Linked DNA regions of Arabidopsis thaliana. The protein of the gene in region 1 interacts with the protein of each later gene in a pairwise test. Each region holds a gene or a part of one and is shown on either strand. Other genes may lie near its edges.

Region 1 (6,592 bases):
ACGCGTTTTTTTATCACCGATCATCTATAAATATATCTAATTCTTTCTAACTATTTCATAGTTCATCATCTTTTTCACAAAGCCAAAGTTTGTCTTCGTGCTTTCTCTTAACTTTGAGCGTGAAAAAACACAGAGTTTGTCTTTGCAATCAACAAGAAGATGACTATGCGATCATCTTCACCTTCGTCCTCTTCTTCTTATTCACTCGCTTTCACAAGTTTGAGCAATAGGCTTGAGACCATCTTCAAGAAAGCTTCAGAGCTTTGCACTCTTTGTGATATCGAAGCCTGCGTTATCTATTACGGACCAGACGGAGAACTTAAGACATGGCCTAAGGAGAAAGAGAAAGTGAGAGACATTGCTCTTAGGTATAGTCTATTGAACGAAGCATTGAGACGCAAGAAAAGCGTTAATCTTCATGGGTTCCTGAACAAGAAGAAGAACAAGGGTTTGAAGAATCCGAACAAGAAGATGAAGACGAGTCTTAAGAACGTGAATATTTTAAAGTATCCACTCGCTGATCATTACCCTCCCGACCAAGTTTCTCCACTGATTCAGTCCTTGGAACTCCATGTCTCTAAATTCCAAGAAAGGCTTCGATTTCTTGAGTCGCAGAAACAGAATCAGACAAAACCGGATCATCAGAGTTTAACACCATCCTCTCTGAATCATTACACCCAATCTTTGAACCCTAGCCAGTTCTCGCTGTTTATGTATAACCATGGAGACAATACTCTGTCTCAGATCCCAGTCTCTGCATCAAATTTCAATCAGGATTATTTCTCAGCGTTACTTGAAGAATCTGAGTTGAAGAATCAGTTAATGAAGCCGGAGATTTGTGGTTATGATCAGAATCAGAACATGAGCATGGGTGACATCACAAACAACAAATTTCAAGATCCTTGCGTCTCAAACAAAGAAGCGGTACAAGAATCTGTCAACAACTTTGGGTTGAATCAATTGATGTACAAGGAGTTTTATGGTTGTGATCAAAACATGTCTATGGGTAACATCAATAGCAACAGCTTTCAAAATCCTTGCGTCTCAAACACACAACATTACTCGGCGGTAGAAGAATCTGTGAAGAACCCCTGGTTGAATCAGTTAATGCAGAATGAACTTTACGGTTACGGTTATGCAGGCTTTTGTTAAATTCTTATGATTTATTAAGAACATCTTGAATCAATTTGATGTGTTGTTGTTGATCTGTATTCAGCTATTGTAATAAATTTGAATCATCATCCCTAGAAACATTAATTACTAAAAGCCAATTTTATCTATTTCTGATTGCTCTCTATCATAATAAAGCCAAATTTCCAATAGACTCTCAACAGAGCAATAACCGTGGCTGAGTTCTGATTCCTCCACTTTGTCTTTGTCTTTTCTATTCACAGATATAACATCCTCTCTTTTCAAACCTGTTTCAGTGATTCTCTGTTCTAAGAAATAATAATCATCGCATGTTTATTAAACGGAACAACATAAGCATTACAGTTTCAGTAAACATGAGAACAGTGTGTGGGGGTGGGGTGGGGGGGGGGGTGGGGGTGGTGTTTGGACACTAATGTTTGCAAGCTTAAAGATAAATTGTGCAGGTGACTCTTCACACTACTGTTATTTTTTGTCTTGTGATGATGATTCCTTCCCTACCATAATGTCTGCACTCTGCAGCAACTTCCCTCTCCTCTTGACCTTTATCTTGTGATAGTCCCTCCCCTTCCATTATGTCAGCTGCAGTTTCCCACCCCTCTTGGCCTCTATCTCCTGATGGTTCCATAAGTTTCCATACTTCCATTATATTTCCACCTTGCTTTCCTTTGAGTTTTAGCAGTGCAGCTACCCACTTTTCTCGACCTTTACCAGCTAAAAACGATCCTAACAGTCTAAGGCCCAAAGGAAGTAAGCCAGTGAGATGGACAGCACAAACTGCGAGCTGGTTCAACTATAATTTACATATAAATCTAAACCTTCATGTTGTGATGTTCAAAATGCTCGGGTTCGGTAAAAACCTTTGATAAAGTGATTATTACATATAGTTCAAAAAACAAGTGATTATTACATTCCTTATTTTTCTTACAATGGAGAATAGGAGATAATCGGCTTTTCTTCAACGAACCAGTGACTGACCCCTGAAACCGGTTTTGCCAAAGTTTTGTTCTAAGTTCTTAGATCTTGGATTGAAGACCCGGTTTAGATAAGGTTCCCATCTCTCGCCGCTTCTGGAATCCTTCTTTGACTTTGAAAAGGATCTCATGGGTCTCATCAAAGTGAGGCATTGTTGCTTTTTTCGTATTCTCAATCCATTGTTCAACTTTCTTATGAGTGCTGAGCAATCTAAGACGATCTTTGTCATCCAAAACCTACAAAATTGCATAAATTTTACAATCAAAAGCCAAAACATAGCAAGGATTGGTATTTCGATGAATTAAAAAAACGCACAAAACAGTGAAATTAAGTGAGTACCTGCAGCTGCATAAGTTCGCATACAAGGCTGAGATCAGCTATAGATGGTTGGTTGCTTCCGAGCAAGAATTTAGCATTGCCCTTAAGCCAAAAAGTCTCTAGAGTGGACAGAGACTTTGTTAGTAACTGCTCAGCTTCAGCAGCTGCTTTCGGATTCAGAGGAAGACCGAGAGCTGGACCTAGTACACTATTCAGAACATATCCAGCTGCAACAGTAAAAACAACCGTAATCAGAACTATTTGACTCTATAACTTCTCAACATCGATGAATATAATGTACAATACCTGCACCACGACGTAAATTGGTGTGATGCCAATCCAAAACTGAGTGAATCTTGGCTCTTTTGGATAGATCATTTGGATACCTAAAAGTAAACAAATGAACATCAAAGCAAAATGATTACACTTTGTGTCAAACGAAGTAGAAACTTACCAATGATCAGCAACACTTGGAAACGCCGAGGATAGATATATCAGGATTGCGTGACTACGAAAAGAATCAACGGTTAAGATTCATAAAAAATGGTCAATAAACCAAAGCAAGAACCCAAAAGAGAATGAACTTTTGTGTTAACCTCTCAAAGAGCTTAAGCCTGCCATCAACAATAGCTGGAACTTTCCCCAATGGGTTAATATCTGAAGAACAAGACACATTTCTTAACAATATTTACATTAAGAAACAACACTAAGCATATATAGCCTTAGTCTACACTAATCTACACTAATGATCTCATATACACTAAACATAAATCTACCAATACTCAGATTTGAAACTTTGTTGATTATTTGTACGAACCTTTGAATTCAGGAGATAATTGTTGACGCTTCGCCAAGGAAATCAAGACCTCATCGAATTGGATTCCATTAACCCTGCAAAGGATAAAATCCAAACAAAACAAAGATTCTCATGTATTAGAGAAAACAAAATTGGCTGAATCTGGAATTAACAAGGAAGTTCAACGAAATTACTTGCAGAATATGATAACAGCACGTGATGGCTGTGACATTCGATCTGCATACACTTTGAGCTTCATCATCTTCTTTTTCGTCTGATTTTGTGGATCACTGAACGGTGGTGATAATATGGACAAGAAGAGAAGTGTCTCTACAGTAGCTTGCTGTTTCTACAGTAGAGAGTAAAACACCGTGCCGTTTTTGTTTCTCTGTTGTGACCAAAGACCTCTCTAAACCGGTTGGTTAGGCTAATTGCTCCTTCTTCACCATCAAAGCAATACAATTACAAGGCAGAACCGGCCCTTAACCAGAACCAGTTGAGACTTGAGATCACAATTTTTTTTGTTTTTCTTTGAAACAGATGCATCATTTTTTGGTTATCTAGAGAACTAAATACCATTAAGTTGAAAATTGTATCATAAAGTTGACGTTAATGAAATAATCAACATTACAAAAAACTTATAATACCAACCTGTTGATTTTCTCAAAGAAACTTTCAAAAGTAATATCAAAAGCATCTCGAAATCTTTGAAACTTAGCATTTGAGTGAGTCTCCATAGACCAAACCAGCCAAAAGCTGATGAAACAATAGGGGCTTTTCTTTCATATGCTCTGATCATTCCTTTTCTTTCCTAACGTTTCATGATGTGAATTGGAAAGTGAAACAAATGTTGAACATAGATAGTGAGATAAACCTAGAGAAAATACAGAGATAAATACAATGAAACATAGCTAAAATACAGAGATGAACATAGAGATTAGAGCATCTCATCAATGAGCTTGTTCTTCAAAATGTCTTCTTTTTCAGAAAGTTGATCAGTTGTTCTTCCAAGAAGACTTTTAAGGACTTCCATCCTTGTTAGTTTCTTTTGCTCTTCTATGTCTTTCTCCTTCAGTGCCCACAAGTTCTCAAGTCTTGATCGGGAATCTGCCTCCCTTTCTTCTTTCTCCTTTAGTGCCCACAAGTTCTCAAGTCTTGATCGAGAATCGGCCGCCTCCCTTTCTTCAATCGTTGGTTTAGGAGCAACTTTATTCTCTTTTTGCTCTAATGACTTCACACCAAGAGGACGATCCATAACTTGCTCCTCTTCATCTAGTACCCACAAGTTCTCAAGTCTTGATCCAGAATCGGCCTCCCTTTCTTCAATCGTTATAATAGTAGCAACTTTCTTCTCTTTCTGCTTCGATGACTTCACACCAAGAGGAAGATCCATGACTTGCTCCTCTTCATCTAGAGCTATAGGCACACTCTCCGGATTAGAGCTTGAAGAATATACACGATCTCCATTATTCAACTTTGTTCTCTTTGAGCTTCCACCACCCTTAGAATTTTCAAAGGGGTACAAACTACACCATTTTTTACTGTGTCGGAGCTCCCTCCATGCATGCTCAAGTGTAAAATTACTCTTGTAATTGTTCGTGTAGACTTGGTATGCAACTTGGAAAACATCATCTTCAGATTGACCACTACTTCTTTGATTCAAAGCTTGATCATAACATCCAACAAATTTGCAGACTTTGTCGTTAAGTTTACTCCATCTTTGCTTGCAGTGACTCGGCTCTCGCTTTGGCAGATTTGCAAGTGAAGCGCTATTGTTAAAATATGCACCAATTCTCTTCCAAAAAGCGCATGCTTTATGTTCATTATCGACAATTGGATCCTTGCTAGTATTTAACCAAGCACTAATAAGAATGGCATCTTCAGCTCGACTCCATTTGCGTCTATGTTTTCTACGATCGGTTGTGTTTTGAACGAGGTTTGGATCATCACTCTTCTCACCAATAGTACTAAATTGGATACTGTATTATGGAAGATCCATGAAATTGGATGAGAAATTAAGTTTTTTCTTCCCCCGATGAAAGTGGTCAAGTTTTTTGTTCTTACATCTTAGATTGAGGACCCGGTTTAGATGCGGTTGCCATCTCTCGCTGCTTCTGACATCTATCTTTGGCTCTGAAAAGGACCTCATGGACCTCATCAAAGTGAGGCATCGTCGCTTTTCTCGTATTCTCAATCCATTGTTCAACATTTTTATGAGGGCTGAGCAATCTAAGACGATCTTTATCATCCAAAACCTATAAAATTACACAAATTTTACAATCAAAAGCCATAACAGAGATAAGAAGGTAACTTTTTTGCTCCACAATGTTTGATAAAGAACATGTTTTTTTTAGTACCTGCAGCTGCGTTAGTTCACATACAAGGCTCAGATCAGCTATAGATGGTTGGTTGCTTCCGAGCAAGAACATGGCATTGCCCTTAAGCCAAAAAGTGTCTAGAGTGGTCAGAGACTTTGTTAGTAACTGCTCAGCTTCAGCAGCTGCTTTCGGATTCAGAGGAAGACCGAGAGCTGGACCTAGTACACTATTCAGAACGTATCCAGCTGAAATAACCAGAAACATGAAACTGATCATTCCTATTTGACTCTACAAACTTCTCAATACCGATATTGTTATGAATATGAAAATGTAATACCTGCACCAGGGCGTAAATTGGTGTGATGCCAATCCAAAACAGAGTGAATTCTGGCCCTTTTGGAAAGATCAGTCGGGTACCTAAAAGTAAACGAACGAATAACAAAGTAAAATGATTACACTTTGCATTTTGCAATCACGAACATGCATGTGTCAAACGAAAACTTACCAATGATCAACTACACTTGGGTATGCTGAGGAAAGATATATCAAGATAGCGTGACTGCGAAAACGGTTAAGATTATTCATAAACAATGGTTTAGATACAAAGGAAGCAACTTTGTGTTAAGAAAAAACCTCTCAGAGAGCTTAAGTTTGCCATCAACAATAGCTGGAACTTTCCCCATTGGGTTAATATCTGAGAAACAAAGACTCAAATCTCACTGTAAAGACCAAATCAAGTTTCAACTTTTATCGAAATCCGAATTCACCCATGTCAAAAAAAAACCTTTTTGCTGATTATTTATACAAACCTTTAAATTCAGGGGATAATTGTTGACGATTCGCCAAGTAAATCAATATCTCATCGAATTGGATTTCATTAACCCTTGAAACAAAAAAAAATTAGAATCAATTTTTTTTTTGTGCTGAATTGCGAATTAACAAGGAAGAAGAAGAAGGAGTTTACTTGCAGAATATGAGGACAGCACGAGATGGCTGTGACATTCGATCCGCATACACTTTGAGCTTCATCTTCTTC
Region 2 (6,066 bases), about 13 Mb from region 1:
CGTGATAGAAGCCACTAAAATACAGAAACATAAGATGAAGACGAAGTCTTGTATTTAAATTAGACAATACTCTTACCTGGATAAGCAGTAAGCAAATGCAAGTACCGTTGACAATGACCTCACAAAATTCAACAGTCGATCCTTCACAATTTTGCTAGCTTCTGTAGGAAGGACAACAGGATCTAATGCCCTATATAAGGAATAGTCACCAGCAATCAATTATCTCAACCAAGCACTTCAGATGAGGATACCACCAAAATATCTCAACAATTAAATCTCAGAAAGTCCCGAGGAACTACTTGATAGATATACCTGCAGATGAATAGAGCTCCTAACCATAGTAACAGAGGTTGAACATATGAAGTCATAACATGGTACGTACCACTCTTCTTCCAACCGTTATCATTCTTCTACAATGATTCAAAGGTAAAGATTCAGAATCTCATATAGAAAAGATACCACATTGATTTGAACTGAGACAACACAGAAATGAAAGCAGTAAACAAAAAAAAAGTGCATATAAACTTGAAATGGCTGCACCTACATTGAGTAGTATGTTTCTTCCTTGGCGAGCAAAAGGCACTAGACCCCACAGGGAGAAAACAAGAAGAGCAACAGCTGGAACCAATTTATATACAAAAGGGAATTGTTGCATCAACCCGTGTGACCTGCAAAAAACGGAATGCAAATAATTACAGAGTGCAATAAAAAAAGAAGAGAAATTACGAGAAACATAAATGCACCCCCTCAGATTTCCCCACCAAAAAAATTACAACTTCCCTAAGGGGAGCCATGGTAATGACAAGGCCTGCATACATCAATGTTTGGCTCAAGTCCACAATGTTTATGAGTAGAGTTAATTCATTCATTTTGAGTTAGATGCCCAAATATTACTATGCAATCATTCAGATCCATGAAGATCAACTAAATAAAAATAATGATAGTTTCCAATTTTACAAGGTGGTCATTCTGCATGTGATGATAGGAAACAAGGAGTCTTACTTTGTTAGCACCACGGTGACAGCTTTAACAGCAGGTTCAATTGCCTTGCCGCTTGCAGAAAAGGAATGACACCTAAAAGCGGTGGTTCTGCATGGAACTGAACAAATAGGCCTACGAAGGTAATTTGAGAGTAATATGTTGCTGAAACCATGTTGTCCCAACTATAAGCAGAAAAGTAATGTTACTAACTATCAGCAACCGAATTTGAAAGGCTAGAGTAAATTTTGTTTGAAATATTACCGGAACACCTAATGAGAGAGGACCATTTGATATATGCAGCCTCCTTCTCATGGCACTCTGAAAAATTGTACATTTTTCGAAAGATGAAGGGAAGAAATGATTAAAAGAAAAGGATGTCAGGGCTAAAATGGAAGAAACATACATTTTCTGGATTACAAAACCGTTGGTTTCTGCACAAACCCAGACTATGAGACAACTGCAATGTACCATAAAGGGCCATATTTTAATCAGATTCAATGACTTAGCCAGTAACGTTAGTGGCACCGATCATAAGCCTCACAGCCTAACGGAAAGAGACTAATGAATGCCAACACAAACTCTGCACCGTAGAAATGAAGCAGACCAGTTAAAACCTGTGTGTATGATTCAGATACAGCAAACAGTAGACCATTGAAAGTCTAGCTTCGGTGGGTGGAACAAAAAGTAGTAAAATTTGCATTTCTTAAACTTCCAAATCTCTCATTCACAAAACTGTGAGAATAGTTGAAGCAATTATAACCTATGGCAGTGTGATCCTTAAGATTCTTAGCAATCAACAAAATCTGCTACTGAACTGAGAACGAACTAGAGCTTACGAAAACACAAGACCATTCAATTTCGTCGGCGTGCCATATTCATTACCAGAGAGTAACCTAAAATCTACAACTTGGATTAAAATTCTCGATCACAATCCCAACTTAACTCAACTTAAAACAGCTAATTTTAACCTAATCTCATCTCGAGGAAACATCCAACATCAAAACTTACAAAGTTAAAATTCCTCATGAAAACCAGACGAAACCCGAATTCAAAAATCGGAGTTTACAATCGAAACTCGGTAAAGAACCATAAACATATTAAGGGTATAAAATACTTACCCAGTGAATCAAAAATCGAGGGAACAAACAAAATTCTAGGGTTTGAAGTCTTCTTCAGGGAGATTCTTCGAAGACAGGACGAACAAGGGGATTCGCATTTAGCAGACACAAGAAACGATGCCGTTTCGTATTGAGAAACGTTCCGTGTAAAGTGGAAAGTGGTGAACAAATTGCCACGTATTTCGACACGTCAGACTTGTTGCGGCTAATAGATTCGTATAAAAAATTGATGCTTGGGCATATTTATTTACAAAATCATCCTCATAGGAACGAATATAGAAAGAAAAACAAAGAACAAGTCCATGGTGATTTCAGGAATCAGGACCAACTATCAAATATAATGTACATATCTTAGAAATATCTTCTTAATGGAATGTCTATTTGTTTTTGCACTGTCCATGGTGATTTCAGGACCAACTATGATCTCACAATCTAATCTTAAAATAGAAGCCAAAAAAAAAAGAGGACGAGACTAGTTTGTTTCCGTTACCGTTTAATTAGTACGAGTATCAATGTATCATCAATCAACCAGCATTATGCTTTGGACTATTATTCAGATCCAATGTTGCATGTGTTTTAAATAGCAACTTATCATTAATACTATGTATCACCGAATCTTTCTCTACGCCATTCTCTATCAACAAGATTAACAACAATAATAACGAGAGAAAAAAAACACATCTCCTTTGGTTGTCATGAACGAAACCTCCAGAAAAAGATGAGATTTTGTTCAATTGATTGAAATTTTTTTCAAGAAAAAGATTAGAGAATAAAGATGCTACGAAGAGCTGCGAGCAATGCGTACTCCTGGTGGTGGGCAAGCCACGTTCGAACCAAACAATCCAAATGGCTTGAAGAAAACCTTCAAGGTTACATATTTTTACATTCCATATTATCATCATTTTTCACTTCTTCCACATATTTTTGATAAAATGTTTATGTAGATATCGAGGAGAAGGTGGAATATGCACTTAAGCTTTTGGAAGATGAAGGTGATTCATTTGCTAAGCGTGCAGAAATGTATTACAAGAGAAGGCCTGAATTGATAAGTTTTGTAGAAGAATCTTTCAAGGCTTATCGTGCTTTAGCAGAGCGGTATGATCATATCTCTAAAGAGCTTCAAAACGCCAACACCACAATTGCATCTGTTTTTCCTGACCAAGTCCCTGAGTTTGCCATGAACGAAGATGACGACGATGATGCTCCTGTCTCACCTAGACACCATAAAAATAAGACATCAAATAAGAATGTTCCAAAAGTTCCTGATTTGCCCATAAAAGACCCTGAGGCTGCCAAGAAGATGTTCATGTCAAGGAAAGCTATTCAAGAACAGAATGCCTCGTCCGTTGTTAACAAGTCCGGGCTGAGTAAAACCGAGGCGGTGGAAGAGATTGACAAGTTGCAGAAAGAGATTCTTGTTTTGCAAACTGAGAAAGAGTTTGTGAAGACTTCTTATGAGAATGGACTTGCAAAGTATTGGGAGATTGAGAAATGTATCATGGAGAAACAAGGGAAAGTTTCTAGTTTGCAAGACGAGTTTGACGAAGGTGCTGTTGTTATAGAAGATAAAGAAGCTCAGATATTGATGTCTACCACAGCTCTCAAATCATGCCAAGAGAAACTAGAAGAGCTGAGAGATAAACAGGAACAAAATGTGAAAGAAGTAGATGTTTCAAGAAAACAAATCAGTGAATCAACAGAGGAATTTGGTAATCTTTCTGATGCATTGCTTGGTGATGGGAAAGGAAACCATGAGATATACAGCGAGAAAGAGAAGTTGGAGTCATTAGGAGAAAAGGTAAATGATGAGTTTGATGACTCTGAGGCTAAGTCATGTCTTACTATTCCAGACGTGGCTGATAAAATCGATGAGCTTGTGAATGATGTGATCAATTTGGAGAATTTGTTCTCATCTCAAGCAGCTTTAATACACAGACTAAGAGAAGAAATCGATGATCTCAAAGCACAGATTAGAGCTCTACAAAAAGAAAACAATTCATCTCAAACTGATGACAATATGGACATGGGAAAGAAGTTGAAAGAGATGGAGGAAAAGGTGAATGGTGTTAAAGATATAGACCAAGAAGTTGAAGAAAAGAGTGACAACATTGATAAACATCTTACGAGAGCACATATGAAACTAAGTTTCTTATCCAAGAGATTAAAAAGCTTGACGCAAGAAGGGGAAGATGAAGAATTAAAGGCTACTAATGTGCCAATTCAAGATATAGGATCTTTGACTGATACAAAGTTTCCAGAGGAAAACATTGATGATACCGTTGTGTCTGAAAATGCTTTAGACATTAAATCAGCATCTGAGGTGGTTTTTGCTGAAAAGGATCTTTCCGATGAAGTTAACCAAGAAGAGGCTATTGAAACTAAAACAAAGGAAGCTTCGTTATCTGATTTAGAGAAACACATCTCATCACCAAAATCAGACATCATAACAACACAAGAGTCATCAGATGAGTTATTCTTGCAGAAGTTGCTCGCACATGGGATCGAAGGCAGAGAAAAACATTTGTTAACTGAATACACCAAAGTACTTCGGAACTATAAAGAAGTGAAGAAGTTGCTACATGAAACTGAAACTAAACTGAAAAATGTAAACACCTTGAAAGATGAAGGCAAGGATCAACAACGGGGCCAATTGTTCATGCTAATTTGCAGAGAAGATAATAACGCCACAAATGCAATAACTGGTCAAAAACAGAGGATGTCACCAAATGAAGAGCAATTGGGAGCACGAGTTGATGCATTACTAAGCGAGAACTTGAACTTATTGGTGAGGTTTAGCAACTCTTTTGGCAAAATACAACAGTTTGACACAGGGATCAAAGACTTACATGGTGAGATGTTGAAGATCATAAAACAAAAGAATCAAGATGGAGGAAAAAACACTCTGAGATCAAATGTTCGTCCCATATACAAACACCTCAGCGAGATTCGCACCGAAATGACTGTTTGGTTAGAGAAGAGTTTGCTTTTAAAAGAAGAAATCAACATCAGAGCTTCAACTTTGAGTGACATACACAATGAGATAACAGAAGCTCTCAAAACAGATTCTGAAGACTCTGAAATAAAATTTACAATCTACCAAGGAGCCAAATTCGAAGGCGAGGTTTCAAACATGAAGAAGGAAAACAATAGGATTGCAGAAGAGTTGCAAACAGGTTTAGATCAAGTTACAAAACTGATGAAGGATGCTGATACAACACTCGAGAAACTAAGTGAGGAGTTTTCACTTTCTGAATCAAACACACAGTCTTCGCAAGATCGTTCTCGTATTCCTTTGAGGTCATTTATCTTCGATAGAAAACCGAAGAAGCAAAGACTATCCCTTTTCTCTTGTATTCAACCTTCATTGTCTAAGATGAAGAAGCCTGCTGGTTCATAGAAAACTTTTACATATCTTTCCATGTACTACTACTACATATCAATTGTGTTAATGGATTTAAATCTTTTCTTATTTGCATGGGATCGTCTTTCTTGTTTTATGCACAAACGTAAACATCAATATAAGGCTAAATCTAGGAATAAGCATGTTTTGCTCCAAAGAGATTGGTCTAAAGCAAAGACAAGACATGGGCTTTTGAGTTGGGATTTTGATCTTCTTGCTGGATCCTCTCACTTAAAGGCCTATATCTTATTTGTTGTACGACGATTGCAAAACCTATGAGAATCCAATCATATTGTAAAAAAAATTACATATCCCCGTTAGTATTGGACTATTGAATTTGTTAAACAAAGTTCAAATTACGGTAATATTTTCAATTGCCTAAATAATATATATTGCAAATGTTTACAAACAGTGACTTCAAAACAAAGTAATGCACCAAACGTCAAGACAAATTCTACTTTGCATCTGATTTTTTTTTTACTTTTCAGTTTCTTGTGATTAGGCCTCAAATGTCAAAAAGAAAATATATACTTAGAATAATGTTGGTTAAGCTTGTGAATTACTTTA

Evidence for each region.
Region 2: the proteins of GSTT1 (region 1) and NET2C interact in a two-hybrid assay, tested with the Arabidopsis thaliana proteins (one large-scale study listed by BioGRID).

Annotation. Positions count from the first base shown.
Region 1 is NC_003076.8:16,490,385-16,496,976, forward strand, and holds GSTT1 (glutathione S-transferase THETA 1), read right to left. Parts: upstream 3,676-6,592; 5' UTR 3,501-3,675; coding exon 3,433-3,500; intron 3,334-3,432; coding exon 3,260-3,333; intron 3,100-3,259; coding exon 3,039-3,099; intron 2,951-3,038; coding exon 2,897-2,950; intron 2,829-2,896; coding exon 2,749-2,828; intron 2,670-2,748; coding exon 2,464-2,669; intron 2,361-2,463; coding exon 2,166-2,360; 3' UTR 1,891-2,165; downstream 1-1,890. Other genes in the region: AGL75 (AGAMOUS-like 75), read left to right, coding at 160-1,152; GSTT3 (glutathione S-transferase THETA 3), read right to left, coding at 4,176-5,217, 5,303-5,493, 5,596-5,801, 5,894-5,973, 6,062-6,115, 6,190-6,250, 6,366-6,439, 6,521-6,585. UniProt on the Arabidopsis thaliana protein: In vitro, possesses glutathione S-transferase activity toward 1-chloro-2,4-dinitrobenzene (CDNB) and p-nitrobenzyl chloride (pNBC), and glutathione peroxidase activity toward cumene hydroperoxide and linoleic acid-13-hydroperoxide.
Region 2 is NC_003076.8:3,302,544-3,308,609, forward strand, and holds NET2C (Kinase interacting (KIP1-like) family protein), read left to right. Parts: upstream 1-2,743; 5' UTR 2,744-2,874; coding exon 2,875-2,968; intron 2,969-3,043; coding exon 3,044-5,496; 3' UTR 5,497-5,566; downstream 5,567-6,066. Other genes in the region: MSL2 (MSCS-like 2), read right to left, coding at 77-190, 313-410, 545-668, 1,003-1,163, 1,243-1,299, 1,385-1,462. UniProt on the Arabidopsis thaliana protein: Plant-specific actin binding protein. May be part of a membrane-cytoskeletal adapter complex.